Lepisosteus oculatus: one gene and its partners. The protein of the gene in region 4 binds, or shares a complex with, the protein of the main gene of each other region. Links are inferred from orthologs where the notes say so. Each region holds a gene or a part of one and is shown on either strand. Other genes may lie near its edges.

Region 1 (7,477 bases), on a different chromosome or scaffold from region 4:
CTCAGTCTGTTTCATTCAATTTATCGGTTTTCCAGTTTCTCTGTTACATTAGACAAAAATTAAAAACTGCAGTAGAAGAAAATTTAGTCATTACCTCATAACCCGAACCAGAATTGTCTCCTCTTTTTGTTTTTTCCCACTACAGGAAAACGCGTGTCTCACGGGTACTGGGGACAAGGTCTCGCAAGAAGATGTGGTCCTCAACAGCTCAGACCAACCTGCCCATGGGGAATCTGGGCAGCAACAGCTGTGCTTCAGGAAGCCAGTATCGAAATGAAAATGGCATCACGGAAAACGAATTTAGACTCCCTAGGGTGGAGATGCACCAGAACGTCTTTGTCCTCTATGCCACAGACACCGAGCCTGTTCCGGTGTCTGTGCACAGCTCCTCTTCCTTGGAGAACACATAACATCTCAGCAGCAAAGCTGGTGGAGCCGTGGAACAAGTCTGAAGTCTACTGGAACTGTGCAGTTTACTACGTTCTTAGGATACACACTCATAACTGAGCCAGTACTGAGCTGCTCGGTCCTCGGTCCTGTCCTTGAGAGCACTGCATTGGAAAACTCCCATGCTGTTTGGAAGGACGCAAACCAGACACTTAATAGAAGGCAAACAGGAGTTGAAATCTTTAAACCTGTGAGCAACAGGGCTAAAGTGCTATGATACTCTAGTGTTCACCAGCAGTGTTTCCATGGCTGTGTATCCAAGTGTTGTGCATACTAGTAGTCAATGAGTGTCGGACTCAGAAAGTGGCACCACAGAACTTTTCTAGGTTTTGTGAACTTTATTGTTCTCCTTTCTCTGATCTGTAAAAGCCCTCATTGTTAAAACGGATGTATGTAGACAGTGTGTGCAGTGTCTCGATTGGACCGCAATGCTACTGAGCTAAACAGTTTCCTTTTTGAAACCCAGAAGGCTTCAGCCCTAAGTTAGACCGTGGGTCTCCATCCCTGGTGCAGGGTTTTCTGGGTAACGACTGCAGTATGTCACAAACTTTGAAGAACCTAGAATAAATTAACTGTGATCTATTAAGCAAGACACGTGTTAAAAGTATTAACAAGTTAGCAAAGATTGTTTGGGTCAAAAACCTCCATTCAGCGCTGTTTGGAATCTGGTGTTTTTTTGCCACTCTTAGGTTAAGAAAGAGACCCTAAAATAAGTTTAGGATTCTGTTGTATCTCTTAGGCTTTGAAAAAAGGTTGGACACACAGGAGTGATTTGTTTCAGAATTATCTGCCTTAACGGAACAAATTACTTGCTTATTTCATCTATAACTTATAATTACCATATTAACATTCCAACAGTCCATCAGAAAACTGCTTATTCTTGTTCAGGGTCACAGCAAACTGGAGTCAATTCTGGAGTCACAGGGCCCAGGGTGGGACAACACCATGAACAGGCCTTCCCAATCCTTAGAAACAGGCGATTTAGGATTAGGGTTAGGTTAATAACCTGTAATTTACACTGTATTGGGGCACTCTGGAGGAAGGTTTAAGTCCTTTCATTCAGATGATGTTTAATCTGAGCCTTTTCAACAAAATCAAGGATTTTATCTCCTTTTTCTCCCCCCCCTGGCTGAAGCATTCTTTCCTGGTTGATGTTTTGTTCATTTTTTGTAATTGAAATGACCTTGATTTCCATGTAATAAAGCAAATCATGTCCTCTCTACTGTTTCTCAGGCCTGCGTTAGGCAGGTGACAATAGCCTGTAATAAAGTGCTTTAGAGGAAGTTCTGCATCTATATAGACCTTTATGTAGGATTTACGTTTTCAGTTTTTGTAATGAAATGGGAAACGTTTCAACCTGCTTTCCTGGTGAAAGTCTGGTGATCCTGATATTGTAAAAAATGACTTTACTTGCAATGCTTGCCGGTGTTTTGAAGAGGAAGGAAACTCATAGGTACAGTATAAGTAAACCTAAAATGAAAGCACATGGCTATAACTGTAAAAAGAACCTTTATACATCAATACAAGATGTTGCTTGTGATCAACTTGAGCCTGGAGATTTTTCTGACATGGTTATGTATCCAGAACTGCTCTCTGGCATCAAGAAATGTCACTAGACTGAATTATTCAATATTTACTGTATATGTATATATAATTGAAATCAATGTCTATGCAATGATAGTGTTACATGTTCCTATAACAGGCTGGATTTGATGTCGAGCAATTATGCTTGCTTTCTGCTGGTGTTGGAATAATAAGCCACAGTAAGAAGTTTTGTGTCCTAATTTTTAAGAAGAATAAATAAATGGAGCTTTTATTTAAAGTATGGCGTCCTCTCAGAAAACATATTGCTTTTATAATAAAGAAATTGCGTTATATTGTCATAAAAATTACACTTTACATATGTAACTGTCGTCCTAGAAGGCTTGATATCCCCACTTCCTTTGAAGAGAAACCTTGTCTTGCTTTGCATCAGCTTCCAATGCTATATTCCCGACTATATCGGTATTTCCCTTTTTTGTTTTACTGACATTTGAGAGATTTATCATTTGAACTATTAATCCAGACATCATAGCCCATGTATGATTTAGGGTAGATGCTTGACCTTATGTAAATGAAACTCCCAAAATGGCAGCACATGAGTGAGCCCTGCCCAGCTGGGTGGAGCTTGAGTGGCCAGCAGTTTCCCTGGTTGGTGCACAGGAGTAGCCCATGTGACTTACAGGTTGGCCAATGAGCTTTTTAGAGCTGTGACACTCCCCTCAAAGCTGGGTCTGAATGAGAAGTGGACAGCTCAGGATCAGTGCATGTTTCAGGGAGACAGAGATGGCCTCCTCTCCTCCATGCTAGTACAAAGGGTGGCGGAAATGAGCCATATTGACTAACCATCAGAGATTCCCAACAGGTTGGGGTGGAATATTTCAAATCTAACAAAAAATAATTCTAGTTATTGGCTAGATTTATAAGAGCTGAGGACTTCCAGTTAATCCTTTATTATTGGGGAAAACTACAATTGTTCAATGTCCAGGTAGGATCTCTGTACTCCACGGACTACAAAAAACATGGCTTTCCAAAATGAATTCCAAAATTCTTAACTCCTTTCCCCCCACATTTGTCTTTTTCTAGAAACAAAACATCCTGTCATTTAAAATCATGTGCTGTGTCTGGGTGATGTTAGACAAGTTATACCTGCTATAAAGTATGTGACAAAGCTCTGGATGATTATGTAAATACGGAAACCAATGTAGCATTAAAAGATTATTTTCTGTGGGAAGATTGAAGTCTGATTTAAACTCATGGAGGATCTGAGCAGTGAGGACACCTGGGTAAACATCAGGGGTTTCTGACAGCATCTGCTGCACTGGAACTGTATGACTGTGGAACCCAGAGTGTAGGCACAGACATACACAGAGGGAATCACGATTCATACGTCATCCCTCATCATTGGCATCGTCTTGTGAACCTGTTAATAAAAGATCTACCAATTTGCCATTAGTTCTGGAGCTCTGCTGCTACACCGTGACTCACACTGCTGCTCCGAGCTGTGAGGCTCATGGTCTTCAGGGAGTCCTCATCCCACTACAACACGATTTGATTGTTTTGTATATCATGATGCTGGAAAGTAATGCATCATCTTCAGCACATTGACAAGTTTGTAACACACTCAAAGCAGAGTGATTTTGTGTATGGAGCGCAAATAACCTTCACAGACCTGCCTGTTCATACCTGCATTGCTATCAGTCTGTTGAGGGTGAACTCATGGGAATATCGACATTTAGTTTTGTAAAAAAAAAATCACGTTTTGGAACATTTTAGTGATATTTGCAGTGAACCTTCCATCTGTCAAATAATAACTGTAACGGTGGTGTTATGGAGTCGTTTAGGCGTTCAACTTTAAAACAGCTGATGGCCACGTTTCAGAGCAATTGGCGCTCCTTGATAGGTTTGCCCGGGAGTTTTGGACTCTTGAGAGTTTTGTTTGGATTTGCAAACGACGGTGTTAAATGTGTTGAGGCGCCTTGAACCTGCTGTTTAAAAGTTCCGCGGAGAGCCGAGCTCCAGTGCCTGAGGTGTAAACGCATCAATAAAGTTACGCCGCCTGGTGGTTATTTATGGTCCTACACGAAGGGGGGGGGCTTCTTCCTGCATTGCATTGTGGGAGTCGTGGGCATTTTTCTTTCAGAGACACATTGCACATTTCGGCAGAAGATGGACGCGGGTTTTTTCCGCGTAAGTACATGTCTTCTTTTTGGCTAAAAAAAAAATGGAATTTCGAGTTTATTGTTCTCCTTATTGCAGCCTAGGCGTCCCCTCGGCTCGGTTTCCGGAGCCAAAAGCGTGGCTTATCCAGGAGCATTTTTTTTTTCCTTGTGTACTTCATGCGCCATCCCGGAGCAACGACATGCAATGGGAGAATAAAAATGGCGGCTGTATGTGAATTCAACCGGGGATCAAAATCATTCGTTGAAAATGAATTGGAATCTGTATTGTCTCGTGTTGTGTTGGGGGTGCAATTAATAAACGCGCACATCGTTTTTGAGGATGTTCTTTCTGTACTTGTTAATCTTTAAAAAAAAAAAACCTTCAGAGCCCGTGTAAGGCCTGTGTCGACAAGCAGTCAGCCAGGGTGCAGGGCTCGTTTGAATAGACTATGCCCAGATCCTTCAAACGTTGTGTTCGTGTGGCTGCGGAGAAATGTTGAGTTCAGGAGTTGTTGTTTTTTTCTTAATCTTGTGTGCTGGAAAAAAAAAACCCTCAGCGGCCTATAACGGAGAAGACAAAACGCGATCGGGTATTTAAGCGTCTTGACCTGTGCGGCAACGTCTACCGCGTCTTCTGGAGAAAAGACAACTTTCTCTGGCTTCGCCTCGCCGTGCCTGTTCGCTCCTTGGGGACTGAGGTGTTGGGAAGTGACGAGGGAAAGTCACCTTTGAAGTACACGCTCACATGTGGAGGAATATTGCTTGAGAGTCGTGTGATAACCTCGGGTTTTTTTTTAAAAAGCTGCTCTTAACCAAATCTGTCACGCCTCACGATGTGTGCGAAATGCTGACAGACCCAGTGAGTTTGGGGAGCTCAAACTTTTAAAAAAAAATGTAACTGGGCTCGTCCTTCACTAGTCATTGTCTTATACTGTTACCAGCAGCCTGAAGAGCTTTTCAACTTGATGGCCTTATTCAGAGATCCCTCCCGGAGTTTAGCAGATATTCTGGTTTAGTAAATGATATGGCTGCTACGAAGACTTGTAGGTTTCATTGTAACCTTTTGTTGTTAATAATAACAACAACAATTTCTTGCTTTAGGAATTTGTATTTTCACCTACCCCAGCTTGCTCTCCATGAGACACAGACAGGGAGAGAAGCTGGGGGTCATAGTGCAGGGTCAGCCGTTGTACAGCACCCCTGGAGCAGTTGGGGCCTTGCTCAGGGGCCCAGCGGAGTAGGATTTCTCTGCCGGCTGCGGGATTTGAACCGGCAACCTTCCAGCCACAGGCGCAGATCTTATCCTTAGATGAAATTGTTCATGTGAGCCTGTCCTGAAACCTAAAACCAGAGTCTTTCTGTATTTTCTTACCAGGGCACGAGTGCGGAGCAAGACAATCGCTTCAGCAACAAGCAGAAGAAACTTTTGAAACAGCTCAAATTTGCAGAATGTCTCGAGAAGAAGGTATGTGAGCATCTTCTAATTAATTGTTGTTTCAAAATATTCTTAGAGACCCAAAGGATCGTCCTTGGTCACCTGGGGTGTCTACTTGCGATAGGCTTGCAGTTATATATTGTTTTGCGGTTCTGATCAGAAAACAAGATTCAGTTTAGGCTGTGGACACAAGGTGTCCTCCAGTGTTTTTGAGTTTATTTTTGATTTTGTGGTAGGGTGACTGTTTTGTAGATGTGTGGCTAAATGTCAGCTTTCTTTTCAGGTGGATATGACCAAGGTGAACTTGGAAGTCATCAAACCATGGATAACTCAAAGAGTGACAGAGATTTTAGGGTTCGAGGACGATGTCGTCATCGAGTTCATTTTCAACCAGCTGGAGGAAAAGGTAACGCCGTCGAAACAGTTTCTTCTTCCTCAGATTCTTGTTTTGTAAAGCAGTGAACTAGTTCTTATTTTTTTGTGCAAGAGGCGGGTGGGTGGGTGTGAGAACTAGAGAAGAGTATTTTTTCTAGTTGAGAATTCACTTTTTATAATATAAATTTACTGCTCTAGGAGGTTTTGTTCTGACTGCTGAGGTGAAAGGAAATGAAGCTATATGTATTTGAAAGAAATGTTGCTGTTATATGTAACAAAGTGCCTTTGACAGCAGTTTTCTAATGATGATGTGATTTATGATTTAAAAGGCCTGAACCAATATGGATGTTATTCCTTGCGTCTGAAGTATAGCACCATCACCTAATTAGGTCACAGCAGAGTGAGTGTCCAATGTCGCTCTGACCCAACTCCCTTGATGATGCAGTGTGTGTTTGGAGGTGAGTTGTGTAAAGTGACCAAAAATTCCAGTGACGAGCACTTGGACAGATCCTTACACTGCTAAACCACCTACATTTACCTGTGGCTAGATATTTATAGATGGTAGCAGTATACCTTTTTAAAACCTGTATGCAGTATGCCTGAATTGTTTCCGGTTTGCTGTGTTCCAGTTATGATGGCTGATGGCGAAGACAGCCATCCTTTTTTTCCTCCTTCACTGTCGGGCATGGTGCATGGTGTAAAAAGAAATACTGCTATATTTATTGGTGAAAGGAAAAATACTACATTGAAAGTGGCCTGACTGCACTTTTGATGTCAGATTATTTAGACCTGCTGACAAGGTCTTTTAAAAAAAAAAAAAGTAGCAGTGATATTTATGATTCTTCACGTGTATGCAGACAAACTGATAATGTAGACATTGGTGTTCATTTGCCTAAAGTTGATCTAGCTCCTAGACCCTCTATATCTTGAGTTAATATGCCTTTTGTTTGACCTTTTGACTTTTTGTGTGAAAATAGGCACTGCTTTTTTGGTCCATATTGAGGTATGCTTAAGACTTGTTGATTTGCTTGCCAGGCAGAATAGCTTTTTTAAAAAAAAAAGTCAATGCAAACAGTATGTAAAGCCGATTGTTGACATTGGTTCAAAGTGTATTTTTTAAATCAGACGTAGGGTATTTGCCTTTTGTGAATGCTCAATATTACAGAACACTGCCTTGATAGGGTTTGTGCTAAACTCTCTTGTAATTCTCTGTTGCTGAAATTAAAAGCGAAATTTATTTTTATTTTATTTTTTAGAGTGATTTAAAAAAAATTCAATTCTCTTGTGGCTGTGTACTCATTATTGCTTGTTCGTCTTTTGCAATTTAGATAAATGATATAACATTAAGCTCAAGGTGGTTGAGTTGCAGTAGGGAGGCGGAAGCAAGCCAAGGGAACATCTCTCTCTGCAGGAGACTTGGCGAGTCCATTTCCAAGGGTTCCACCTGGGGAGAGAAGACGTCAGGACTGTGTACTTGCTTTGTGGCGTTGATGCGCTTGGCTCTGTGGATCTTGTTGCT
Region 2 (7,930 bases), on a different chromosome or scaffold from region 4:
CTTTAGCAACTGGTGACTGATGACTAACTTGTTTGGAAGGACGATCTAGAAGCCACAGACCTAAAGGATACTGCTTAGTCACACTCTGTGACAGCCAAGGTCACTCTTTCCTGCCCACGGCATGCCTTGCGTTTGAATCAGTGTCAACCTACCTGTTGAAGAGCCTGCAATTCCAACAATTCAACATTGAGCACTCTGTAGTGTAAAACATTCTCTGGACAAGGATCTTGCACAAACAAGGAATGTGCTTGAAATCCAGTTTTAAAACCACCTGCCACTCAATTTTCGAACAAATCCAAGATTAAAAAAAAAAGTATTTAGGACTTAGAAAATGGGCTGAAGAAATGCATTAGAGATTGACCAATAATGTTTAAACCCTCCCTGTGCGTTTGCACACAGACAACTTACAAGGGCCAAGCCTGGATTCATCAACAGGCCCCCAACAATACAAGCCAGTCCCACAGCTCAATGCCAAGAAGATCCGTCTCGCTTAGCAAGACACTGCAAACACTCCTCTCCATCAACACATACAGTACAGAGCAGTATCTATCCCACCCAAAGGAAAGATTAATTGTAAGTGTTAAAGGTTAAACAGGGCGCCATGTTATCAGGAATATGGTTTTTATTAGATATAAAAAAACAAATGGGAGATCATCCACAACATTTTCCTGCGAAATAAAAAAAAAACTGTACAGACAGCCTCTGCCGGAGAGAGGGAGAGCACTTGCAGCAGCAGCAGTGAGCGAAGTTATCTCCTCGGTCCTCCTCTGCCTCGCCCTCTTCCTCGGCCTCTGCCCCGTCCCCTGCCTCGACCGCGGCCGGCCACTGCGAGAGAGGACAGACACCAGTCACCCGCCGTGCCGCCTCACGGCCCAGCCCAGCCCGCGAGCGGAAGAGCAGGAGCGATGCACACCAGTAAAACAGCGAAGGGGGTTACACACGCCGAGGAGAACCTGTCCACTGTTTGTGCAGACGTCCAGATACCACGGAAGAAAACCGAGCCGCTCTTTAAAGATACCGTGAGGGTTAAGGAAAAGGGGCACAGAGACTCTCAATCATTACATCCACATATAAACTATTTTCACGCAACTTCCTGGGAATAGCTCAGGAAGTAAACTCTCGTTATAAACTACGACAAGTACAAACCCATATTACCACACCTGAAACGTCTGCTATAAGATGACTTTAGTTTACTTTAAGGTTTTGTCAGTATATAAAACATAGAAATACTTTGAAATGCCTCAGTTTTTTTGCACCCCAGTGAACCACCCCAAAAAAAACAAGCAGAAACTTAACTTCAGGCAATGAATTACTATGATGGTTTAGTCTTAGCAAACTGATTTCATTTTCATCTACATAAAGAGGCACCAAGAACGTCTAAGGCAGTTCCTAGCACATGCAACAATATTTTCTTGGTTTACACTCTGAGCTTAGGAAGTTGAATGTATTCAACCAAACAATGAGTCTTAACTGAAATATGATTTTGTACATGAACCGCTGCTCCAACTGTCCTTTCAAACAACCTCAACAAGAAACCACACATAGGACAATTTAAACCCAGGAACAGGAGACACTTCATTACCCCAAATACACCAAGGGTAGCGGGAGTGTGGAACAAGCCGGCCACCATGTTGATCAAGCCGATACCCCGGCTTCTCTCGAGAAACCTCAAGAAGAGATCCTGACCTCCTCTCTTTTGGGAATATGCTTAAGTTCTTATTTAAAACTGCGTGAAGAAACGCACTTCTACTCCGAAGATATATCTGACTGCTGAGGAAAAGCATCTTCTCAGAACTCCTACCTGCTTCCCTCTTTTTGGACTTGACCTTCGGCTCGATGTCGACCAACAGGGTGTCGAGAGGCAGGCTGTCCGGCAGGATGAAGTAGCGGATGTTGTTTCCACGGATGCTCAGCGTCTCCAGCTGGACAGGCTCCCTGTTCTTCAACGTCATTTTCACAGCTTTCAGGTGAGTGTTCATGCACACATCCACCCCTGCGCAGCACACGAACACGGGAAAGGGGGTGAGCTATCCTACTCATGGTCGCACAAAGAACACTTGGTTTTCTGACCAATTAGCCCACCTTTCTCTCCTATGACTGGCTGAAGGTTAAAGTAAATCTGGTATGAATTCGCTGTCGGATTGACTTTTAAATTGATCCCCAGCACACAGGACACGCATTGAGGTCTGAACAGGAAGCACCCCCAAAAGATGGCAAATACTTTTATCCCCTGCACCGGGTGATCCCTGACTGCAGGTTATTGCAGCAGGCAAGTAAACAGTTTTTCTCAGGGATCGACTATCCTTAAACAGAGAGATGCCCGAGTATCACCCAGCAAAGCCAGTTAGTACATGCTCATGCTCAACACATTCGTGAGAAGGGAAGCTGTTCTGGCGAGGGATAAGCTTCGTGGATTTTAAGGATCACTGGGGCATGGAGCCTCTGCCCGGCGGAAGATCGATCAGATCTTTTCCCGGGCTCGGAAGGACCCTCCATCCAGGCGTGCTGCGAGAGACAGCCCGTTCCCGTCTCGAAACGAGACAAAGGACCGGATGGTCCAGCTCTCCAAACCCACAGCGTTACTGAGGGAAACCGACCCAGTGGGCTTCTCGAGAACAAACACCGCAACAAGAGCCGATCCACCTACCAGTGATGGTGCCGTGGACCTGAGTTCCGTTCTTGAGCTCTATGGTGACGGTTTCATGGCTCAACTTCATCAAAAATCTGCAAAGGTGGGAGGGAGAGGGGAAAGTCAGTGCATAAAACACCCGTCAGGTAGCAAGAGGGACGAGCACCGTCCCGCACCGGGAGGCTAACCAGGAAAACCGAGTCGCACCGACCGGATGAAAACACGTCTCCGGCGGGCCGGCGCTCCTCTCCAGCACGTCTACGGTGCTTTGTGCGGAGAAATTAAAGAGCCGCGCTGGGACTCGACTGACCCGCCGCTTCAACACAACCGACAACAGGCGCGGATTTCGGATTGCAGCAGCCGACGCGAAACGGCGTTTCTCCCTCCCACCCCCTGGAAGCCGTTTGAATCGGCCATTCATTTCACCCCTTCCCGCCTCCCGCGTCTCCCCGACGCGAACGGCGCTTTCTGGAGCTGAAAACAACCCACAATCTGACTCCATCCTCGGCAATCCCTGCGCTTTTACACCCTTTAGCGACGCTGGCCCCAAGATCGAAACACCCCGAAACGTCTTACCGCACGAGTTTCATGCTGGCGGCTGATGGCGAGAAGAAATCCCCCACCGGAGTAAGACAAAAAATTATACACGAAACGATACAGCGACGCTGGGCCGTTCCGGCATTAAATCGGAAACTGACTCGGAAGTGAAAGGCAGCGGTGACCCGGAAACGCACCGAAGGCGCTGAAAGACGCAAAGAGGGGCCTCGGGCGTGGGATGGGGATGGGAGGCTCAGCACAGCGCCACCGTGTGTTTCATTACTCAGTGGAGGAACAAGAAGACGGCGCCCTCTTGCAGGGTGTCTGCCGAGGACGAAGCTGGGAGATTCGTTTCGTTGCTGTGGGTGGAAACGTGTTATCGAAAATAAAGCACAGTGCACTAGTGTTTTCGAGATGCGTTTCCTCTCGAAATGTGGAAGAGCCGTTTTTACGCTCGTAGGTCTTATTACTCGTCTATGCTGGTTGAAACACGGTGCCAAGGGGTAACAGCGCCCATAACTTTCAGGTGATGTGCTTCCACGCCAGCAGCTATAAAAGCATAAATATTTGCCTAACCCTTCCTCTGTGACTGGAAACTTTAAAAATACCTTATTGCCATATATCAGTTGTCAAATGTTTATCAGTTTTACCATGTAGAATACATTTATTTTCTGTTGCAGCTTAACGTCTGTTCCATCAAGATGGGGCGAAATGGCACAACCATGCAGTTATTATTCTCTGCAGTTATTAAGGACTATAATGAGAAATTGGGACTTTTTTTCCTGTGCAGTTTTGAAACGACCACATTAAACTTGCTCTATTTGTTTTAGATGTGATGATTCCTTATAACGAGCTTGTCACGGCTGAATCGCTTACAAAACAAAAAGAAGCCAGGTTTTGGGCACACACAGAAGACAAATCAGAAGTAAATGACTACAAATGTCTGTTTTTCATGAGAATTTATTAATTCTGTCAAATAAAACATACCACTTAAAACATGGAATGACAGAAGTGAGAAAACGATATTTTGGTATTGCAGACAGCCACAACAAAACATTTTTAAAAATCATTACAATTTTGAACACACTGGAAATATTTTTTCTCTACCCCTTACCTTGAATACATTAGGAAGAGAACTGGCTTCTTAGTATTTATGCACAGCAGACATAATAGGATCCATTCTATCATGATGGCTAGAGCTATCTTGACTCTTTTGTACTCAGCCAAAGCAAATGGTAATAAAATACTTCAGTAATTAGGTAATGGTCATTATATTATCTTATCCACTCTCAAAAGATATTAGATCAAAGCAGACAGGCATATAGATGTGTGAAAAGCATGGTACTTGATCTGTCAAGAAAGAAAAAGCAGCAAGCATGCAATAAATATACAATGTATAGTCAATGATGTAGCATTTGGATTAAATCGTGTCACATGCATGGTGATATGGCCAGGGTTATAGCCGTCATTAAAAGTTTCTACTTAAATTTAGATACAAGATACAACTGTAAATTCCAAACAAACAGATGAATTTCCTGCACATCAAGTAACCTGGGCACATCCATGCAAATCTCTTGCCATAACCATGTTAACCTGACATAATTTGAGAATTTATTCACTTTGGACGAAAGTTCCTGCAATGATCATGCATTCATTCTATGACAATGGAATTAAAGCTGTGGCAGTTCCATTTCTTTAAAACAAGGCAGAAAGCATACAGTCCGTCAGCGATACAACTGTGCACCGTCTCCAAACTGGGCATGTGCAGAACAACACTGAACTACAAATGCAAAGCTATAGATAGAGGCTCTAGTCTGTAAAGCTAGTCTCAATATCGGTGCACTGTACATGTACCGACTGCTCAGACTTGTGGATTGAAACTAGAACATCTTCCCAAATAGGTTTGGATGTACAAAACATTTTAATTTTAACTTGCAGTGTTGAAGTTACAATTAAACCATTATTTCATTAAAGATAGGTGACCTTTGCACTTAGTTTAATCAAAAATTACCTTTAAAAGACTACTCCCATTTTCATCCCTGACTTCTACTGTATTTTATAACTATATAACTCTGTCCATGACATGTAACCGCAAGAGGAAGAACAGGGGTTTGTAAAATATGAACGCTAATAATATACCAGGTTTGTCATTATTGAAATGAAATCCTTATTCTTCATTTATATGAAAATGTTTTTGTCTTACATCTGAATAATGGAATGGTTTCTCAAGTTCATTACAGGAAAAGCACTAATAAAACAGCAATGACTGAAATAGGAAATGAAACAGATGTTGATCTATTAATGACTTTATTGCAAAGTTAAAGACAGCCCTCCCTGTAAAACACTAACCAAGTGTCAATATTTAGAAATCAACTAAATCTAATGAGACAAAGTGAAATATAATATCCCTAATCCATCTCTCACATTATTACCAAGGTAAATATACAGAATGGTGAGCATATCATCCACTAAAAGGACATAAAAGAATGATCAGAAATGATTTTACCAATATCCACTACATCTGCACAAAGAGCTGTACAACAACTCAGGAGTCATATTCTACAGTATAAACAGCAATGTTCCCTTTAAGGGCAGTAAAGCATTTGATCCAGATGAATTGACATGTTTTGTAGCAGTCATTGCAATACAACATGAGTTTTAATATTGTTTTCTTTCTCTAAATTAAGTCTACCTCAACCACACTGGAGCAAGTCATTTTCAAATATAGCTTTGTATACAGAGATGTGTACTGTGTATGAAGTGCAAGGAAACTGTCCAATACATAATTACAAGGAAATATTTTACACAATAAAAAAAAAAAGATCTGAAAGTCATTTGTATATGTAGACAAAGATCGCACTGAAAACAAACTTGAGGGGGAGCAGGCTGGTATTCTTTTAACCTACGGGTGGATCTGTACCTCTGTCCACCTAAAACACAAATCCCCACAACTCTTTTGTTTTTCTATTGAAAGTATCTGCATCATGTTAAAATGCTTTTTTTTAAAAATGAAGAATTTCCATGCAAAAAAGAGTAAAAGTAAGTTGTAGGTTATTTGCACCAAAGGTTAAAACAACTTGATATCTCAAGTCTGTGATTTCCTATTTAAATTGCTAAGGTACTATTAAGAAAAAGCTGACCTGGGGAAAAAAGTACATACAGTATAATGAATGTGTTAACACTGTTAATATTTTATGGTTTGGACCACTAAATTAAAAGTGGAAAAACACATACAAGGCATGTTAACCAATTATACATTCTCTGATTTGTTAAGACCATCCTGAAGCCCACTTATCAGAAAGAAACATTATAATTTACATTATTAATATATACCATAGGTCTATCAACACTTTCCCCATTGTTCAACAGCTTGTAAGGCAGACATTCAAGCTGAAATCTGATTAACTGCAGAGCTGAGAGCACAATACAACAAGACAAAACACAATGACAATGCAACCAGTCAAAACCCAACCCAGTGGTGTTAAGTCCAGCAATCAAACAGAACATTTGCAAAAGCAGACAGACCAGCCACACTAATGTGGCACTTTACATGGTTAAAATGATTTGGTCCGATGGGAACTTTATATGATCTTAAATCTGGCAATGTTAATTTTCTACAACTTAAATTCATACCCAGTTTTGAGGTATGATGATTATTGTCTCAAAGGTTCTAGCAGCAAATGTTATTCTTCTGTATTTTGTGTTACTCCTAGGAACTTTACTTCTTGTTAAAGAACTTACAAAAATAATCTCCTACAAAGTGACTGTGCAAAGAACAAAAATGTTCAGGCAATGTTCAGAGACACCTGTGAAACCTCACAACTCTCAGGAGTTTGGGATTTTCCCCCACACAGGAGCTCAAATGTAAAAGGACTGTTTTACTGGAAGATTATAAGGTATAAGATGGTGAAAAGGGAAAATGTATTCCTTCTTTCACCTTGATTTCATTCTGGTTTCCTTTCCTTTATTATTTTGGACAATCATGCAATTATTTTTTGTCAATAAGGCTTTTTGGTATATCCTCTTCAAAGTAATTAATTTAGTTAAAACAAAGTAATTACATACAGACAAGGAAAACTGCACTTTATCAAAGTATTCATGTAATTTCTACCGGGACACTACAAATGTCTTCCGTCAGTATGTTAATTAAAAAGGGTGTTAAACCAGCGACAATGCATATACTGAATGCTGAGACCATATAAAGATCCCATTAAAGGATGGAATATAGTGTTCTCGATGCTAACACTTCTTTGTAGATCTGGGTTAAGGTCCATTCCCAGTTCCTGTTCAGGGATTGTGAAAAAGAAATTGGAATTGGGAATTGATTTGAATCTGAAAGAGTGAATCTGGAAAAAAAACCTGGAATTGACTATGGCCCTGTTATACACCTTGTTTGGCGCAAAAGCCAACCAAGACTGCAAATTCTGCTCTGTGTAAGAAGTGTGGGAATTGCAAGAGGAGAATAAGTGCTGCGGTACAATCTGCTGGAATCTGAACATCACCTGTAGAAGATGCTGCACGTGGGTGAACAGCAAAACGGAGCGGTTATTTAAATCTCGGACGGTGTCAGACACTGAGGAGGGGTTTTGTTTTCCGGATGTATGACGCTTCTTTTAGATCCCCACACCCCCTAAAACACCCAAAGACAGAAACTGTTTCTTGATGGTAAAAATAAAACGAAAGAAAAAAAACCCAACGCTTATGAGGATAGCCTCCTGCCATGGTGTGGAGAGCAGGTCAGTACAAACTCCAGGCCTGCAGGGA
Region 3 (8,202 bases), on a different chromosome or scaffold from region 4:
CCATTTAAACAGTATGGAAACAGTTCTATCAATACAGGCATATTCTAACTGGAGGTTGCAGATATGAAGGAAAACAATGACAATGCTGCACTCTACTGGACATTACACTGTGCACTGAACACATCAGTGTGAAGTGTTATAGAGAAAAGTGCTATTGACAGATTTACAGTGATCCTGTGTTCATCACACTATTTTAGTAGTTCTTGGCCAGAGTCCCTGCTAAATGTATCTACCAATTCCCACTCATCCAGAATGCTGGGGCTGCTCTGTGCGCTTGCTCTTCTTTGCTTTTCTCACGTTGCTTCACTGGTCCCAACCCTCTGCTGGCTCTCTGCTGCATTGTGTCCAATTTGAAGCACCAAATCTCACACTGCTACCGTACCTCAACCATTGTACTCCCACTTATCTTCAGTCTCTTTTCTTTATAATCCTCTCCACTTCTCCTCATCTCCTCGTGTGCAAGACCTTCTACAATGTGATGGAACAAGGTGAGGCTTAGTTTCTTTTCCTTAACTGGAGTAAATTGGACACACCTGGCTTGACAGACATTCTTCAGGGGCAGCAGCAGTCAGATGAAGAGGGCAGGGAGACAGTTAGGAGAGGAATGAACTGTAAGGAGTTTAGATGGTATATCCAAATATGCAAATTATTAGTTCAATTAGAGTTGGGCTAGAACAAAAACCAGAAGACAGTGGCATCACTAGGAGCAGAGCAGATCTAATCCTGAGGCAGTGGGATGCCCACAGCAGAGTGTCCCTGGAGGCTCTGGGCTCTCTGCACCTTCTCCGCAGTGCAGTAGTCCTGCAGGAAGACGGAAGCCAGATTGCTTAATCTCCGGTTTGTAGACAGGGAGAAGCGCAGCATGCACTCCACCACGGGGATATCGGTGATCTCCTCGCGGGAGGCAGGAGTCATCAGGTACATCAGAGTGGTGATGGCAGACAGCACTGTCTCCTCATTGGGGCTGGACAGGCACCCAATCACCAGCTTCACACCATCGTTCTGCAGGATGTATTCCTTGTTGGTTTTGTCCAGGCTCAGGTTACACAGACCCCCTGTGAAAACATGGAAATTGCTAAATAAATGTACTAAAGCATCAGGTTAATTGTGATGCATTTTGTTCAGTTTCTCTATTACATTGTTTAGGCTTCAAGGAGTGCCAACCTATAGTGCTGCAATGGCGAACCTATGGCATGCAGGGCCATATATGTAATCACCCCTAATAAACAGCCTGCATTCTGTCTGGAACACTGGAAAGTTAGTCAGTTTTTCACCTGCAAAGATGCCCCTGAAGTACCCGAACAGTACTAACTGTAGTAAATATCCATTCATGGTTGGGTGTTTTGCCGACGAGCTGCTATATTTAGGAGAGAAACAGCAACAGCCTTTCCTACTTTACAGGTGATTTAACTGTTTCAAAATGTCAAAGTCGAGGTGACAAAACTAGGTCAGGATTATATAATAAAGGTATTTTGGGTTTACATCTTTTCTAAAAAACCTTTTGCATGTTATCAGTGTGAGGAGTGCAAGGTCTTTTTGTTGGTGTTACTGTTAGTTGAGGATTTTTACACTAAACTTAGGCAAACAAAAAAACTATGAAATATGGAGTTTATTTGTGGATATATATATACACACTCTTTAAATAGGTTTGTAGAATTTCTTTCTTAATTTAAAAAAATCAACATATTATACAACATGATTTTCAACAATAAGACCACCAAGCACCTTACCTGCACAACCTTCTGAACCACACCTTTTTCTATAACAGAAGTTTCTGTATCACCTGCACATGTGTACCCATTATCATATATATACACATTTCTCCACTGGCCATTTAGAAATCTCTTGCAGAAAATGCCCTAATGTAATAATCTAATAATTGTTTGCAGTTATACTAAGTTATACGAAGACATATTATTGATTCTGATTTCTAGAACTGTCTTTCTTTTTTCATCATCATTCTTCTTCTTCATTTCTATCTTCTTCTCAAAGTCTTCCTTACCTATTCCGAACTCCACCAGGCTCTCGTTGTCCTCTGTGAGCATGTCCAAAAACAGGTCGATCACCTGAAGCTTGCGAAGGGCCTCATAGTTGCTGGGGTCATAGGAGAAGTTGGCCAAGTTTGCCAATACTTGTGTCTTGGCTTCTAAACGTGAAAATGAAATAAACGTTCACAGATTTTGAATAGACAATAATTCAACCAACACATATTTCCATGTGGACAACATTTTTGTAACCATTGCGGTGCATCTCAAACGCTGTAACCCATATTTTAATCTACTACGTTACTTGAAATCCTACGAAAACATGGTTTCCACATGATTTTGTTTCATTGACAATGCTTAATAAAAGAGCTACAAACACCGCCTGCTGGTCAGTGCCTATAAGGTGCAGAAAAATTAATAACATATTTTAAAAGAAACAGAAGTTCATACCAATGCTGTCAGTATCCTGGAACTCTGTGACCAGAGCCTGCAGATACTCAAATCTGTCCAGTCCCTGGGAGTCACCTTTCTTGGGGAACATCACACTCCTAAAGCAAAAAAAAAAAACATTTTCAGCATAGACAGCATAATCCTCAGAACTATCTTGATCTTTAAATTAAGGCAGTGTGTCCTATACTGTGAAAAGCAGCGTTTTGCCACACTAGAAAGACACCAAAGCAGAGCATGCAAAATAATTTAAACTCAATTTAAAATATATTACTTGAACCAAAGAGATTACATGGAGTTGTACTGAAGTATTTAAAAATCATGAAAGATACTGCTGTATTTCAAACAAATTACTTCTTTACGCTCAAGAATGAATACAGGATACACATTTAAATCAATTTCACATACAGGGAAGGAGGGAGGTACGGAATTCTTTGCACAGATTTTAAGTGTCATATTTTTTTTTCAAACGTTAGAATTTGAACACTGTTGGATCCATATTTTATTATAAATTTACGATCAACCGAAAGCTTTTCCATATTGGTGTCGGATTAGCAGCAAAAGTGTTTATACCACAAATAATGCCCAAACTGAAAAGTAAAAAAAACAAATTACTTACATTTAAAAGCTACGCTAGTCTGTTAGATATTTTGTTGCATTATAAAAAAATATACATTTATTACACTAAACTATTTTATTTACCTATCGACGACCCATTTTTCATCCACCTTTGCCTTCCCCTTCCACACACACCTTAATTTTTATATTTTGTATTTACTTCCGTTCCTGTCCTAGTCGTTCTCCCCCGATCGACAGAAACGCATTGGCTTTTAGATTCCAGTTCCACAAAACTACAAGATCTAATGACAAAATAAACCAGTGAAAACTGTAATTAAATATCTCTTATTAATGGGAGGAGAGGACAAGTTATAAAATTCAAAATGTCTTTGTAGCGGGTGTAAACTGCACAATGATGCGATTGCATATACAAACCGTATATAGCTGCAGATGTGTATAAACGGAAAACTCGGGCTGTACTCTGGTGGACGGAACTTTGTTTCTCTGAGTCATGTGTTCTATGCCGGAGCTTATAGGAGGAGAGCGCAGTTGCGTTTTGTTTTTTAGAAGCGTGAAGCTAGTTGCTCTGTTTTTTTAAGGTAGAAAGTGGCACTCATTTTTGTTTTTGCCTAGGTATTTCTTCGTATAGCAGAGACATGAAACAGATCAAATTGTCTGCCGGCAAGCGGTTTGCCAAGCCGGTCTTGTTTGGGACGATCCTCATTGGGTTGTCCATCGCCTTTGTTAACAGGTGTGTATTAGTGTGGACGAACAGATATATTTTCATAAACGCTTTTTACTTTATGCAACATTGTTCATTTATTGTGATGAATAGCAAATTAAAGAGCTTTGCAAAATACTCAAGGTATTTATATATACCATTTGGGATGTTCCGGGAAGCTTATTATCCTTTTGTAGAAAGTCATAACCTTGGATTCCTATGAGTGCTAGAACGAAGTCATCGCTCTTGCAGAAGTAACAAATCATTGATCTTTGTTGACCGAAATAGTCTGGTGTTTTATTTTTGCCTTACTTTTGACCTGGGAATGTGCTCACTGAACTCATGGATTTGATCATTTGTATGGTTTATTGACCTTGGCAGAGTTCTTGGTTCTAGTTCAAGTACTGGTTGTGGGACTCTCGCGCAGACTACCAGCTCATTTAGCTAAAGCTCATAACCTGGCTTGTTCCACGAAATGGCAGGATGAGACCCTCGGATCACCGAGCTTCTAGCAGCTGATTGACCTTTATATCAGAAAGCCTCTCATGTCAGCAGCCATATCACACTGCAACTCACAACTGACAACCTGCTGAAGCTAAGCAGGTGTGAGCCTGGTCAGTACCTGGATGGGAGACCTCCTGGGAAAAACTAAGGTTGCTGCTGGAAGAGGTGTTAGTGGGGCCAGCAGGGTCTATGCCCTGTCTATGGCATAATCATAATCATGTCTATGGCATGACCTGTTGGTAAAAAAGATTATTGAAAGAGAATGCGTTCAGTGTGAGGACCAATTCTGCAAGGCGTACCAGGGTGTGGGTGGGTGGATCAAGCACTGTGCGTTTGTCCAGCGTGTGCTTGAGTGTGTTGGTAAAAAAGATTATTGAAAGAGAATGCGTTCAGTGTGAGGACCAATTCTGCAAGGCGTACCAGGGTGTGGGTGGGTGGATCAAGCACTGTGCGTTTGTCCAGCGTGTGCTTGAGTGCTGTAAGGCCGTCATTATGGGGAATGACGGTGTACAGAGATGTGATGTCCATGGTAAAAATGTGGCATTCGGTACCCTGAAATTGGAAATCATTGAAAAGTTGGAGCGCGTGGTTGGTGTCTTTGATGTATGAGGGAAGATCTTCAACCAGCGGTCTCATGAGGCTGTCGAGAAAGGCTGAGATGTAAGTAGTTGGACAGTTACATGCTGATACGATGGGGCGTCCAGGGGTGTCCGGTTTGTGGATTTTGGGGAGGAGGTAAAATTGAGATACCTGTGGATGTTCCATGATGAGCCGGTTCGCCTCCTGGGGGAGCTCGTTACTGCTGATAAGAAGGGAAATGGTGGATACCACTTCCTTTTGGTAGTCAGTGGTAGGGTCCTGTTGGAGAGGGAGGTAGGCAGAAGTGTCAGTTAGTTGTCTAGAGGCTTCAAAGATATATAGATCCTTACGCCACACCACAACAGCACCTCCTTTGTCCGCTGGTTTGATGACGATATCATCCCTGTTGCGGAGAGACTGGAGCGCCTGATTTTCTCCTTGGGTGAGGTTAGACCTATGTTTACTGGGTATAGAGAGTGTCTTGGGAGCTTGATTAGTGCATTGGTTAATGAAATAATCAACTGGTGGAAAACGGCCAGAGGAGGGAGTCCAACAGCTCTGTTTGGGATTAATGTTGTTAATGACATCAATAACCGGGTTGTTATCAGCTGAGAGAAGCGGGCAAGTGGCCCAGGGAGGAAGAGAAGGTATGACGAAGAGATCTAGAAAAAGATTTGGAGGAAGGCATAGTGGGTCGCAGCAGCTGTAGGCGGTAGTAGTTCAGGTGGGTAGCTGCGTCAGCATGCGTAGGCTGCAAAGGAACAAGTAATAGGTTTATTCCATGCTGAAAAAAAGAAGAAAGAGAACACAACGTTTCGGCTGTGGAGCCTTCTTCAGGTGTGAGAGAGACAGGGCAGACCCTGCGGTCTATGTGGGTCCTAATGCCCCATTATAGTGACGGGGACACGATACTGTAAACAGGCGCCGTCCATTGGATGAGACGTAAAACCGAGGACTCTCGGTTTAATGAGTGGTCATTAAAAATCCCAGGGCGTTTCTCCTTACCTTACCTCCTAATAATCCCCACCTATGAATTGGCTTCATTACTCTGCTCTCCTCCCCACTGATAGCTGATGTGTGGTGAGCGTTCTGGTGCACTATGGCTGTCGTCGCATCATCCATGTGGGGCTTCACAGTGGTGGAGGGGAGACCCTATTACCTGTGATGGTAATGAGTGGAGTGTCCAGAAAAGTGCTATACAACTGTAAGCTATTATTATTATTGAAGCTGAAGGCTTTCAACAGGAACACCTCAATTCATCTAGAAAAGGAATCTCAAATGTTTAAATGGAATTTGGAGAACTCACTAGGTTTGAGATATGTATTTTGGGAAATGCAACTTAACATTTATACTCTGAAATTTACTTAACGTGAATGTATTAGAATACATTTGATACCTTGAAATTACTGGGTTGAACACAAAGTATGGTTTTGTTAAAGTTAAAGTCAGATATATGCATGAAATTTCATATTAATCTGATGATCATAGATTCAAACTGCTTGACTGTAAGACAAAAACAACAGTTATGATTTTACTGTCCCATTACTTTTAGGGGGAGCTGTATATATGTATTAAAGTGTGAAAAATGGTGGACCAGGAAACGTAACTAAAGTAGCAGTGTTATAGTAGCAGCATCAAGTATATAATCTCTCTCTATACTCTTAAGAAAATTATCTGCACTCCAATTTTTATTTAATATAACCCAAATAATGGACATGCATACATATATTCATTATTTATTAAATAAAGCATGTTTATTTAATAGAAGCTCAAAGATTCCTGTGTGCAAAAGTAAGTGAAAGTTAATTCAGCTAGCAGTGGTACACCCTTTAGGAATTGTTTGGTTGCAGTCATAGCTCCTAAAGTTAGTAAAGTCCTTCACATCTGCTTTGAGGAACATTCTTCCAGAAACCTAAAGGATCATCCAGATGGTCTTTTGCAAACTTAAGATGTGCAGCAATGTTCCTTTCTTAGAGCAAAGGTTTTCTTCTGGCTACCATTGCTATTCAGCTTGTGTCATATTGTTGAGGTATAAACATGGACATCAACTGCAGAAAGAGAAGCCTGGAGATGCTTGGATGTGGTCCTAGGGTTCTTTTGGACATCCAGGATGAGTTTTCTTGTTGCTCTGTGGGATAATTTGGAAGGACATCCACGTCTAGGTAGAGTTACCGTGGCCTTAAATTTTCTCCATTTATAGACTATTTGTCTTCCAGTAAACTGATGAATTCCAAAACCTTTTGCAATGGTTTTATAACCCTCTCTAGACTGGTGAGCAGACAACACTCTTCCTGAGTTCATCTGAGCTTGTCTGGGGTCTCTTTAGATTGTGGGATGGTGCATTACATTACTCTGTATGAACAGCACCAAACTGACTTTGCTCAGGTGATTGGTTCTTTGATTGCTTAACTTGGTACCCAATTATTTTAGCACCTGGTTATACTTACCATGTTGACTGAGCTAATGAAACCTGCGGTTCACTTACTTTAGCACATGCCCTAAATCTTCTTTTCCTATTTCTTTTTCTATTGCATGCATAAATTCCTCTGAACAATACATTGAATTTGTGGACATAAACCTTTGTTTTAGGGAGGACTAGTTTTGATTAAACAAAAATTTTATAGTCAAAATGAACCACTCGGAGGTTCACAAACTTTCAAGTAGCACTGTAGCGTTTTTTTTTAGCTATGGCTGGGTCTTTATATTGCTACTGGAGGTTCATTATGTTTGCAGAAATGCAAAACATCATCATCAAAATAATAATTTAAAAGACAATACTAACTATATTTTCAGACACAAGTTTTTCCCTGAAGTGGAAGAGATTCGTGCCAGAGAACAGGCCAAATACGATGAAAAGCTGGCAGAGGTTCTGGAGCGTCGGCAGAAGCAAATGGGAGAGCTGGCAGAGAAGAGACAGGCTTCTCGATGAGCTCAGGGGATGTCCTGTCTGTAGGAAAGGCTGAGCTTCTCACTGCTGTACAGACAACCTGGCAGCCAGCTCCTCAATTCCTGTGGAGTTGCTCAATCTCTCAACAATATTTTGTGCAAACCTGGCAAGTGAAGATTTTCTGTGAATTCCCAGATACTTTTGTGACGAGAATGATGTATAGGAAGGAGTATATCACTAAACTGACTCCTAAGAGTTCAAAGATAAGAAAATATTTTTCCTTGTAATACGCCATTACAAGGTTGAGTAGTGCACTAATGTAAAATGAAAGCCTCAAGGTCAGGAACAACATCTATGAAAAGCTTCAAGTGTTTTCTTTTTTCACTTCTCGGTAAATGGCTTTAAAATTTTTAGTTTTACATTGTAAGATGTATTTCCTTAACTTTTCAGCAAGAATAATTAGTGTGTGGCCAAAATGTTTTTATTACCTATATGTATTTACACAAACTCCTTTGCAAAAT
Region 4 (7,283 bases):
CAGCCCATTTTGGTTAATCGATCCGAGGATGTCATCCAGCTATTTCTTGCAATGCGGTCTTCAACGACATAACTGGGCAGCTTGCTCCAGTCCCCCGCCACCCTCTGTGTAAAGACATCACCTGTTCTTAATTTTAAACGAGCTTCAACTCAGTTGATCAGGTTTGTGTCCTGTGGTTGGCTGAGATGAGACAGTCAATGCTCACTGACTACCAGGTCAATTGGCTAATGTAGTCAGTGAACCCCACACCTGGCCCCTCACAGACATTATCACCTCCTGAGGGTTCGATCTAGCAGGTGAAGCAAGATTTAATTAGGTCAATTAGCTTGGCTTCTCGTTAACATCTATCAGCTCTCTACTCATACAGGACCCTGGTCTGATACCGTTTTGTAAGTCATTTGGCACGGCAAGATGTATATTATTATTGTTGTTGTTAAATAAAAACAATAATATTAGTTTTATGAACACTGCAGTGAAGCTCGATTTTGTCCCCAATGCTTCCCAGTCTCGTGATGGTTTCAAGATGTAAAGTATTTCAGTTGTTTCCGATTTGTACAGGGCCGCCAGCGAGACATCACGCGAGAGACAGTTCCGCCTTTGACCGATTCAGACGAGACAAAATCGTTCAACCCCCCGAAGTTTTCCGTGAATCTTAATTACTCCCAATGACATCACAGCTTCAATCCAGTAGGGAATTTCCCCGTTCCTCGTAGGCGCTTTAGCGTATGCCTGAGAACGGCACTCAGAGAACTGTATTTTGGAACTTCAGATGCGGTATATTGGCATTTCCAGGTCAGCTGCCAACGCTGTGAAATCGGAAAACAATCAATACAGTCCTCAGCCCTGCAACGTCGGGGACGTTAAAAAAAGGAAGCAATAATAAAGTGCATTAAAAAAAAAGATTTCACATTGTTGGGTACATCCATGCACGCATTTCACGGGCCAGCCCGACTCATTCAATCAATACTGGCGAATCAATGATCAAAATGGCAACCGATGCCCGTCGGTCTCCGCCGCGCGATCCTGACCCCTCGTATCACAGTATCTCGCGCAACGGTGCGTCGATCGAGAACCGGGGGGGACACGCGCACTGACCTTATGCAAGGCTCTGATGTTGTCCTCTCCGAAGATGCTACTCAGGGTCTGGTAAAGACCATTCGCCGCCCTTCTAAAACTGTTCTGGCTGCTGGAATCCTTCCGGCTCCGAGCCGCTTCTACACACTGCAGGGATGCGAGGAGAACGGCGATTATGGCAATCAACCTAATTACCTTCATGACTTATGACTATCAATAGTATGCACGTATTTTTTTTTTCTTTCTGTAGAGGTAAAATAATTAGCTGTACGTTAAAAAAAAAAAAGACACCACAGCAGCAATCCCGGAAGAACGTGTTTCCGACGAAATGGTTACAATGTATTCAGAACTTCCGCCTTCCTGCAGAGATGTGAACTCTGACACCTGGCGTTGAGAATAGGAATAGCACTCCCTTTCCGCTTCATAAAAATCTGGTTTTAATGTTTGTAAATCTAAATGTTTCGGTTGAGTGTTTACAATAATAATAATAATAATAATAATAATAATAATAATAATAATAATTGCTTACACTTATATAGCGCTTTTCTGGACACTCCACTCAAAGCGCTTTACAGGTAATGGGGACACCCCTCCACCACAACCAATGTGCAGCACCCACAATGATCTGGTCAACGTGAATGTCAATGTACCGAATTGTTTTTTAAGAAACCGCTAATATTTTTTAAACGGCAAATTACGACGGGCTTATTGTGTCGGGTTTCTGTTTTAACTTCGGTTAATGGCGCAGTTGTGTGACATTTATAACTGATTCTGCACAACTTCGTGGATCTGCCAGCCTGGGGAACCTGTCTGTACGTACTGAGTGTTCTCATCCTGTCTGTGGACTGTCTGTGTGGAGTCTGTGTGTTCTCACCCTGTCTGTGGACTGTCTGTGTGGGGTCTGTGTGTTCTCACTCTGTCTGTGGACTGTCTGTGTGGAGTCTGTGTGTTCTCACCCTGTCTGTGGACTGTCTGTGTGGGGTCTGTGTGTTCTCACCCTGTCTGTGGACTGTCTGTGTGGAGTCTGTGTGTTCTCACTCTGTCTGTGGACTGTCTGTGTGGAGTCTGTGCGTTCTCACCCTGTCTGTGGACTGTCTGTGTGGGGTCTGTGTGTTCTCACCCTGTCTGTGGACTGTCTGTGTGGAGTCTGTGTGTTCTCACCCTGTCTGTGGACTGTCTGTGTGGAGTCTGTGCGTTCTCACCCTGTCTGTGGACTGTCTGTGTGGGGTCTGTGTGTTCTCACCCTGTCTGTGGACTGTCTGTGTGGGGTCTGTGTGTTCTCACCCTGTCTGTGGACTGTCTGTGTGGGGTCTGTGTGTTCTCACCCTGTCTGTGGACTGTCTGTGTGGAGTCTGTGCGTTCTCACCCTGTCTGTGGACTGTCTGTGTGGGGTCTGTGTGTTCTCACCCTGTCTGTGTGGGGTCTGTGCATTCTCACCCTGTCTGTGGACTGTCTGTATGGAGTCTGTGTGTTCTCACCCTGTCTGTGGACTGTCTGTGTGGGGTCTGTGTGTTCTCACCCTGTCTGTGGACTGTCTGTATGGAGTCTGTGTGTTCTCACCCTGTCTGTGGACTGTCTGTATGGAGTCTGTGTGTTCTCACCCTGTCTGTGGGACTGCGGTGAAATAGATTTTGGAGAGACGTTGTATGTGTCTGTTGCATGTTGTGTTGGCTGGGGCTGTATGCCTTTTAGAAACATTTCAAAATTAGATACAAAGGAGGGGCTCCTCTCTAGATATAATAATGACTGCAAGACTCTCATCTGTGGCCTTTCTAATGTTCTGACACAATTGCCTAAAATAGTCCATTCTTGTCAGTTCTGTAACAAATGATTGTGATACACTTGTTTTTTAGCCTCCTTTTGTATTAAAGCCCTTGTCAGAATCTGCCCTTATAACAGTGTGGACTTTGTACGAACTGTTTCTTTGTCTAGTGTTTCGGATGAGACATAAAACCGAGGTCCTGACTCTCTGTGGTCATTAAAAATCCCAGGGCGTTTCTAGAAAAGAGTAGGGGTGTAACCCCGGAGTCCTGGCCTAGTTTTCCATTTGGCCCTTACCAATCATGGCCTCCTAATAACCCCCATCTCTGAACTGGCTCCATCACTCTGCTCTCCTCCCCACTGAGAGCTGGTGTGTGGGGAGCGGACTGGCGCACCATCCAGGTGGGGCTGCACACTGGTGGTGGTGGAGAGGATCCACATTATGGAATTATTATTATTATTATTATTATTATTATTATTATTATTATTATTATTAGAGGCCTTGGAAAAAGTGGAAAGTCAGCGCACTACCTCTGGAAACGTCTAGTCTTCCTGACACCGAGTTAAACTGCCCCCAGCGCTACACTCTCCCACACGGAGTGAGAACAGCGTTATATAACCATCACGTCAGCTCGAATCATGTGGCTGGAGTATCTTTCGTGTTCACTGGTATAACGCGATTTTAACGCAAACGAACAATATATTTTTAAATTAAATTAGTTTAAATAATTAAATAAACCTTTTGTAGTGTAAATACTTTAATCCAAGTCAAATGCACAGTAAGACTCTCTGGTTGTATTATTACATTACTCAGTGATTGTCATCTTAAAGCTTACATACTCAGTACAGAAAAGATCTGGCATTTGAAAGCTAGGCCTAACTTAAAAGCAAATGTCGTTCTTTGCTGCGTTCCTTTCACGCCTATTTCAACAAAAAGGGTTACCAAAGAAAATGGTTTCTGTCGGTGATGGTTTTACAATACATCCAAAAGTCGACTTTTTTTAACAATGCATCGATAACCACAGATATTTTGTAATTTTAAATGAATTCTGCCGGTAAACTGTACTGGAATTATATCGCCTACTAGTGGTATGTCCTTAAATTACTACGGCTGTGATTAAGGATAAGGCGGAACCACTTCTGCTGGGCTTCGTGTTGCGTGTCGGAAGGGTGTTGATGTCGTATTGGTGTGTTTTCGGAAGTCGGGAGCGTTTGTGTGTCTTTTTTTTTCAAAAACCGTATAGACAAGTGTTCCAGTGTTTGTACAGGTTCTAGTATCGGTCGAAGTGATTAGATAACTTACCCGCAAGTGGTTTTTCTCCTGGATTTGCGTGTTACACCGCCGCCGTCATGGGGAAAAGACAGCATCAGAAAGATAAAATGTAAGTTCACCTGCGTCCTAATTACAACCACTATGCATCTGATCTCCGTTAAATGCTGGTGTTTAAGGTTTTGTTTCAGTATTGGTTCCATAAGCCTGTTAAGATAAATTTTAATATGGTCGCCGAGGCTGCCTAAAATCAGGGATTTATATTATTGTTAGGATTAATGCAAATTAATACAATGATACGTTGGTCAATAGTATATTGTGGAGACAAAGTGAAAAACAATATCGTCTTCCATGTTATCGTATAGCATTCGTTACTATTTTAAATTATTGTAACCTGTGTCGTTTTTCATATACCCTCAAGTCTGAAACTGCCGTTGAAATCACAATGAAAATGGTATGTGATTATTTTCGTCTGTATTCAGGTACATCACCTGCTCCGAATACACACATTTCTACGGAGGCAAAAGAGCAGGTACCGGTGAATGTTTCGTCTGTCTTTACGTCTTTACTGTCCTGCAGCGGAATTTCATGTGTGAGGGGAAGCAAAAGCATCAGTATCTGTATTACTTCTTCCCTGGCAAGGCGGTCACTCGCTTTGTCTAGCTTCTTTCTGAGTTTTGCAGTATTTTATGCCGTCTTTGTGTCATTCGCAGCTGTCTGTACTGTGCAGCTAAGCAAACTTAACCCTGTTTTAAATGTGTGGATGATTATGCTGTTCGCCCAGACTTACTCTCATCGTTTTTTACGTGCAGGTTTTAAGCTATAAGCTCTCAGTAAACTTCTTCTATGTCGTGCATACAATATCTGCCATCTCAACATCCTAGAGCTAACTTGAAATCCAAGTTCAGCTCCTAAAAATCACATATCGCAATAAAAATCTAAAATCCGATTGCAAAGCCACATGGAAAAACAAAGCAAACAGTAGAAGATGTAACTGTCATATAAGTCTAAAAAATGTGACTGGATTTAAAAAGACTGGGCATGAACAGGGGACATATAAAACTGCAATCAACTGGATGAAGGTCCTGTGTGATGGACACTTAAAAGCAGTCAAACCTTTTGCAGTCATACTATGGAGCCCTGAATGGAAGCAGACATCATGATCAACTCAAAATTGTACAGGAAGCCAGTGCAGGGACTCCAGAACAGGGGTGATGTTTGCAAGTGACCTAGAGGTACCTGTTAGAAAGAAGTAAGAATAATCAGTCCCTGGAAAAACCACTTTAATGGACCTTTTTTCTGTAACAAAAGCAGATAACATACAGCATGTACACAACAGCCAGGCAATGTTTCAAAGGTAGAAAAATAATATACATCCAGTTTAAAAGTTAGAGCAGGTTAGACTGTAACCCCACATTCTTTTGGGTTAAATCTCAGGCAAATTGCCATCAACTGACAGGTTTACAGCACTGACCTTAGTCTTTTCACAGTTGTGATCCTCCCAATTTCAGATTTCATTGGAGAACGCTGAAAACATTATTCCATTTATCCAGTTTTCAAAGCTGACAGCTTCACACGACAGCTCAGCGAGTCACTTTTAACTTTATTTGCCCTGAAGCGAAGTGCAGGGAAACGGGAGTGAAATAAGACAAGCAGAACGGTAAACTGGGATCATACACGAACCTCGGTTTCCAAGGCAGTCAGGAGTGAGCTGTGCAGAATGTGAAGGAGTAAATTCTGTCACTCAAAGAGGCTGTGCTATAGAGGCCTGAAACTCCAAAAACCCACTTAGCCAACTCTCATAACCAGATTAAGAAGTGGGAAATTAAACTTAAGTCTAAAACTGTACTAGAACCAGGGGAGGGAAGCAGTCAAACACACTGTGTTCTAAAATACAGTACATGGTACAGTTACTTAAAGGGGAACTGCAGTCCCGATTTCTCAGACCAGTTATTAAATCTTGGTAACAAAACCAATTCATTTGCTGGTATGGAGAAATTTGGCAAATTTTGACTTCAGCACAAAATCATGTGAACTTTGAAAGTACTGTAAGTTGCCATGTTGTTGCCAAACCCTGGTCTCGCCACGGGTGAGAGTGAGAGTTCCCATGAATAGCAACGCAATTGCAGCCCTTCCTGCTCACTAGTCCCTGTAATGACTTATCTGTGCAGCAGGTATTTCACTGCAGAAATGTTCCAGCATGACCTGCAGGCAGAGTTAACAATTTAGCCGTTTTGTTGGGAAAACTCTCTGGAAGTCGAGAGCAATATTTCCATTGGATGACAAGAGATGTATTCACAAGCCTGCTTACTTTACAGTGTAACAGGGCCACTACATGTCACCAGAAGTTGTGTTGCCTCTATCTGAATCGCAGAACACGGAGCTACAGAGCTGGAAATTTAGTCTGTTTTGTAATGTAAATTGGAGGTTTTACACGTAACTGGGTACATTTTATTTTTTATTGAGGTTTGAAACTCATCAATGCTGGTTCTTTCTCACCCTAAAATATAAAAATAGAAATGCAGTTCTTTTAACCTTTTTCCCCCCTTTTCTTTCTAGAAATTCCACAGGCGAATTTCAGGCGCCTGCCCTTTGATCACTGCAGGTGAGGCAAAGTTTCTCTATTCTCCAATGTTCTCCAATTCTCCAGTGGAATTCTCCCAACCACCGGTTTCTGTTTTCCAGTTTGTCCCTGCAGCCATTCGAGTATCCCATGTGCACTCCTGAAGGACACGTCTTTGACCTGCTGTGAGTATTTCTCCTGCTCCCACAGCCTTTAATAACTGGCTAGAGCTGTTTTTTGTATGAAAGCTTCTGTTTCACAGCTGCTTGTAATGTAAACATCCATTAATCTCATCCACTTGTTTTTTAAAAGGTGTCTGGGATCCTGCTTCAGTTATGAGGCTGCACAGCCTTAGATGGGTACCTACACCCCAAAAGTCACAGCTACCCCTCGCAAGACACTGGCTCTGCCATAGGGGTGATATGTGCTCCAGGCTTGACATTTGATTCATGTGCAGAATATTGTAAAAACATCATTCTTCCATCTAATAAATATCACCAATCTACATCCTGTGTCTCTTCGACTGCAGCAGAGAAGCTGGTTAACACATTTGTCTTTTCCAGAATTGCTTAATGCACTGCCCTTGAATCCCCTATCTGAATTATCGTTCGTGTT

Evidence for each region.
Region 1: ppil2 (region 4) and srrm1 share a complex: the UniProt entries of both Homo sapiens proteins name them as parts of the minor spliceosome. The link is inferred for Lepisosteus oculatus from reciprocal best matches to the Homo sapiens genes PPIL2 and SRRM1.
Region 2: ppil2 (region 4) and snrpd1 share a complex: the UniProt entries of both Homo sapiens proteins name them as parts of the minor spliceosome. The link is inferred for Lepisosteus oculatus from reciprocal best matches to the Homo sapiens genes PPIL2 and SNRPD1.
Region 3: ppil2 (region 4) and armc7 share a complex: the UniProt entries of both Homo sapiens proteins name them as parts of the minor spliceosome. The link is inferred for Lepisosteus oculatus from reciprocal best matches to the Homo sapiens genes PPIL2 and ARMC7.

Annotation. Positions count from the first base shown.
Region 1 is NC_090706.1:4,187,062-4,194,538, reverse strand, and holds the start of srrm1 (serine/arginine repetitive matrix protein 1), read left to right. Parts: upstream 1-4,107; 5' UTR 4,108-4,155; coding exon 4,156-4,176; intron 4,177-5,523; coding exon 5,524-5,613; intron 5,614-5,866; coding exon 5,867-5,989; intron 5,990-6,288; exon of another isoform or gene 6,289-6,416; intron 6,417-7,286; exon of another isoform or gene 7,287-7,477. Other genes in the region: ncmap (noncompact myelin-associated protein), read left to right, coding at 146-410. UniProt on the Homo sapiens protein: Part of pre- and post-splicing multiprotein mRNP complexes. As a component of the minor spliceosome, involved in the splicing of U12-type introns in pre-mRNAs. Involved in numerous pre-mRNA processing events.
Region 2 is NC_090705.1:41,557,871-41,565,800, reverse strand, and holds snrpd1 (small nuclear ribonucleoprotein Sm D1), read right to left. Parts: upstream 3,343-7,930; 5' UTR 3,220-3,342; coding exon 3,206-3,219; intron 2,725-3,205; coding exon 2,648-2,724; intron 1,994-2,647; coding exon 1,802-1,993; intron 826-1,801; coding exon 749-825; 3' UTR 605-748; downstream 1-604. UniProt on the Homo sapiens protein: Plays a role in pre-mRNA splicing as a core component of the spliceosomal U1, U2, U4 and U5 small nuclear ribonucleoproteins (snRNPs), the building blocks of the spliceosome.
Region 3 is NC_090704.1:32,755,778-32,763,979, reverse strand, and holds the start of armc7 (armadillo repeat-containing protein 7), read right to left. Parts: upstream 3,140-8,202; 5' UTR 3,054-3,139; coding exon 3,052-3,053; intron 2,534-3,051; coding exon 2,436-2,533; intron 2,147-2,435; coding exon 2,003-2,146; intron 1,056-2,002; coding exon 718-1,055; 3' UTR 1-717. UniProt on the Homo sapiens protein: As a component of the minor spliceosome, involved in the splicing of U12-type introns in pre-mRNAs.
Region 4 is NC_090717.1:1,804,220-1,811,502, forward strand, and holds the start of ppil2 (RING-type E3 ubiquitin-protein ligase PPIL2), read left to right. Parts: upstream 1-3,969; 5' UTR 3,970-4,185; coding exon 4,186-4,217; intron 4,218-4,587; coding exon 4,588-4,637; intron 4,638-6,664; coding exon 6,665-6,710; intron 6,711-6,790; coding exon 6,791-6,853; intron 6,854-7,283. Other genes in the region: bri3bp (BRI3-binding protein), read right to left, coding at 1,096-1,275. UniProt on the Homo sapiens protein: Has a ubiquitin-protein ligase activity acting as an E3 ubiquitin protein ligase or as an ubiquitin-ubiquitin ligase promoting elongation of ubiquitin chains on substrates.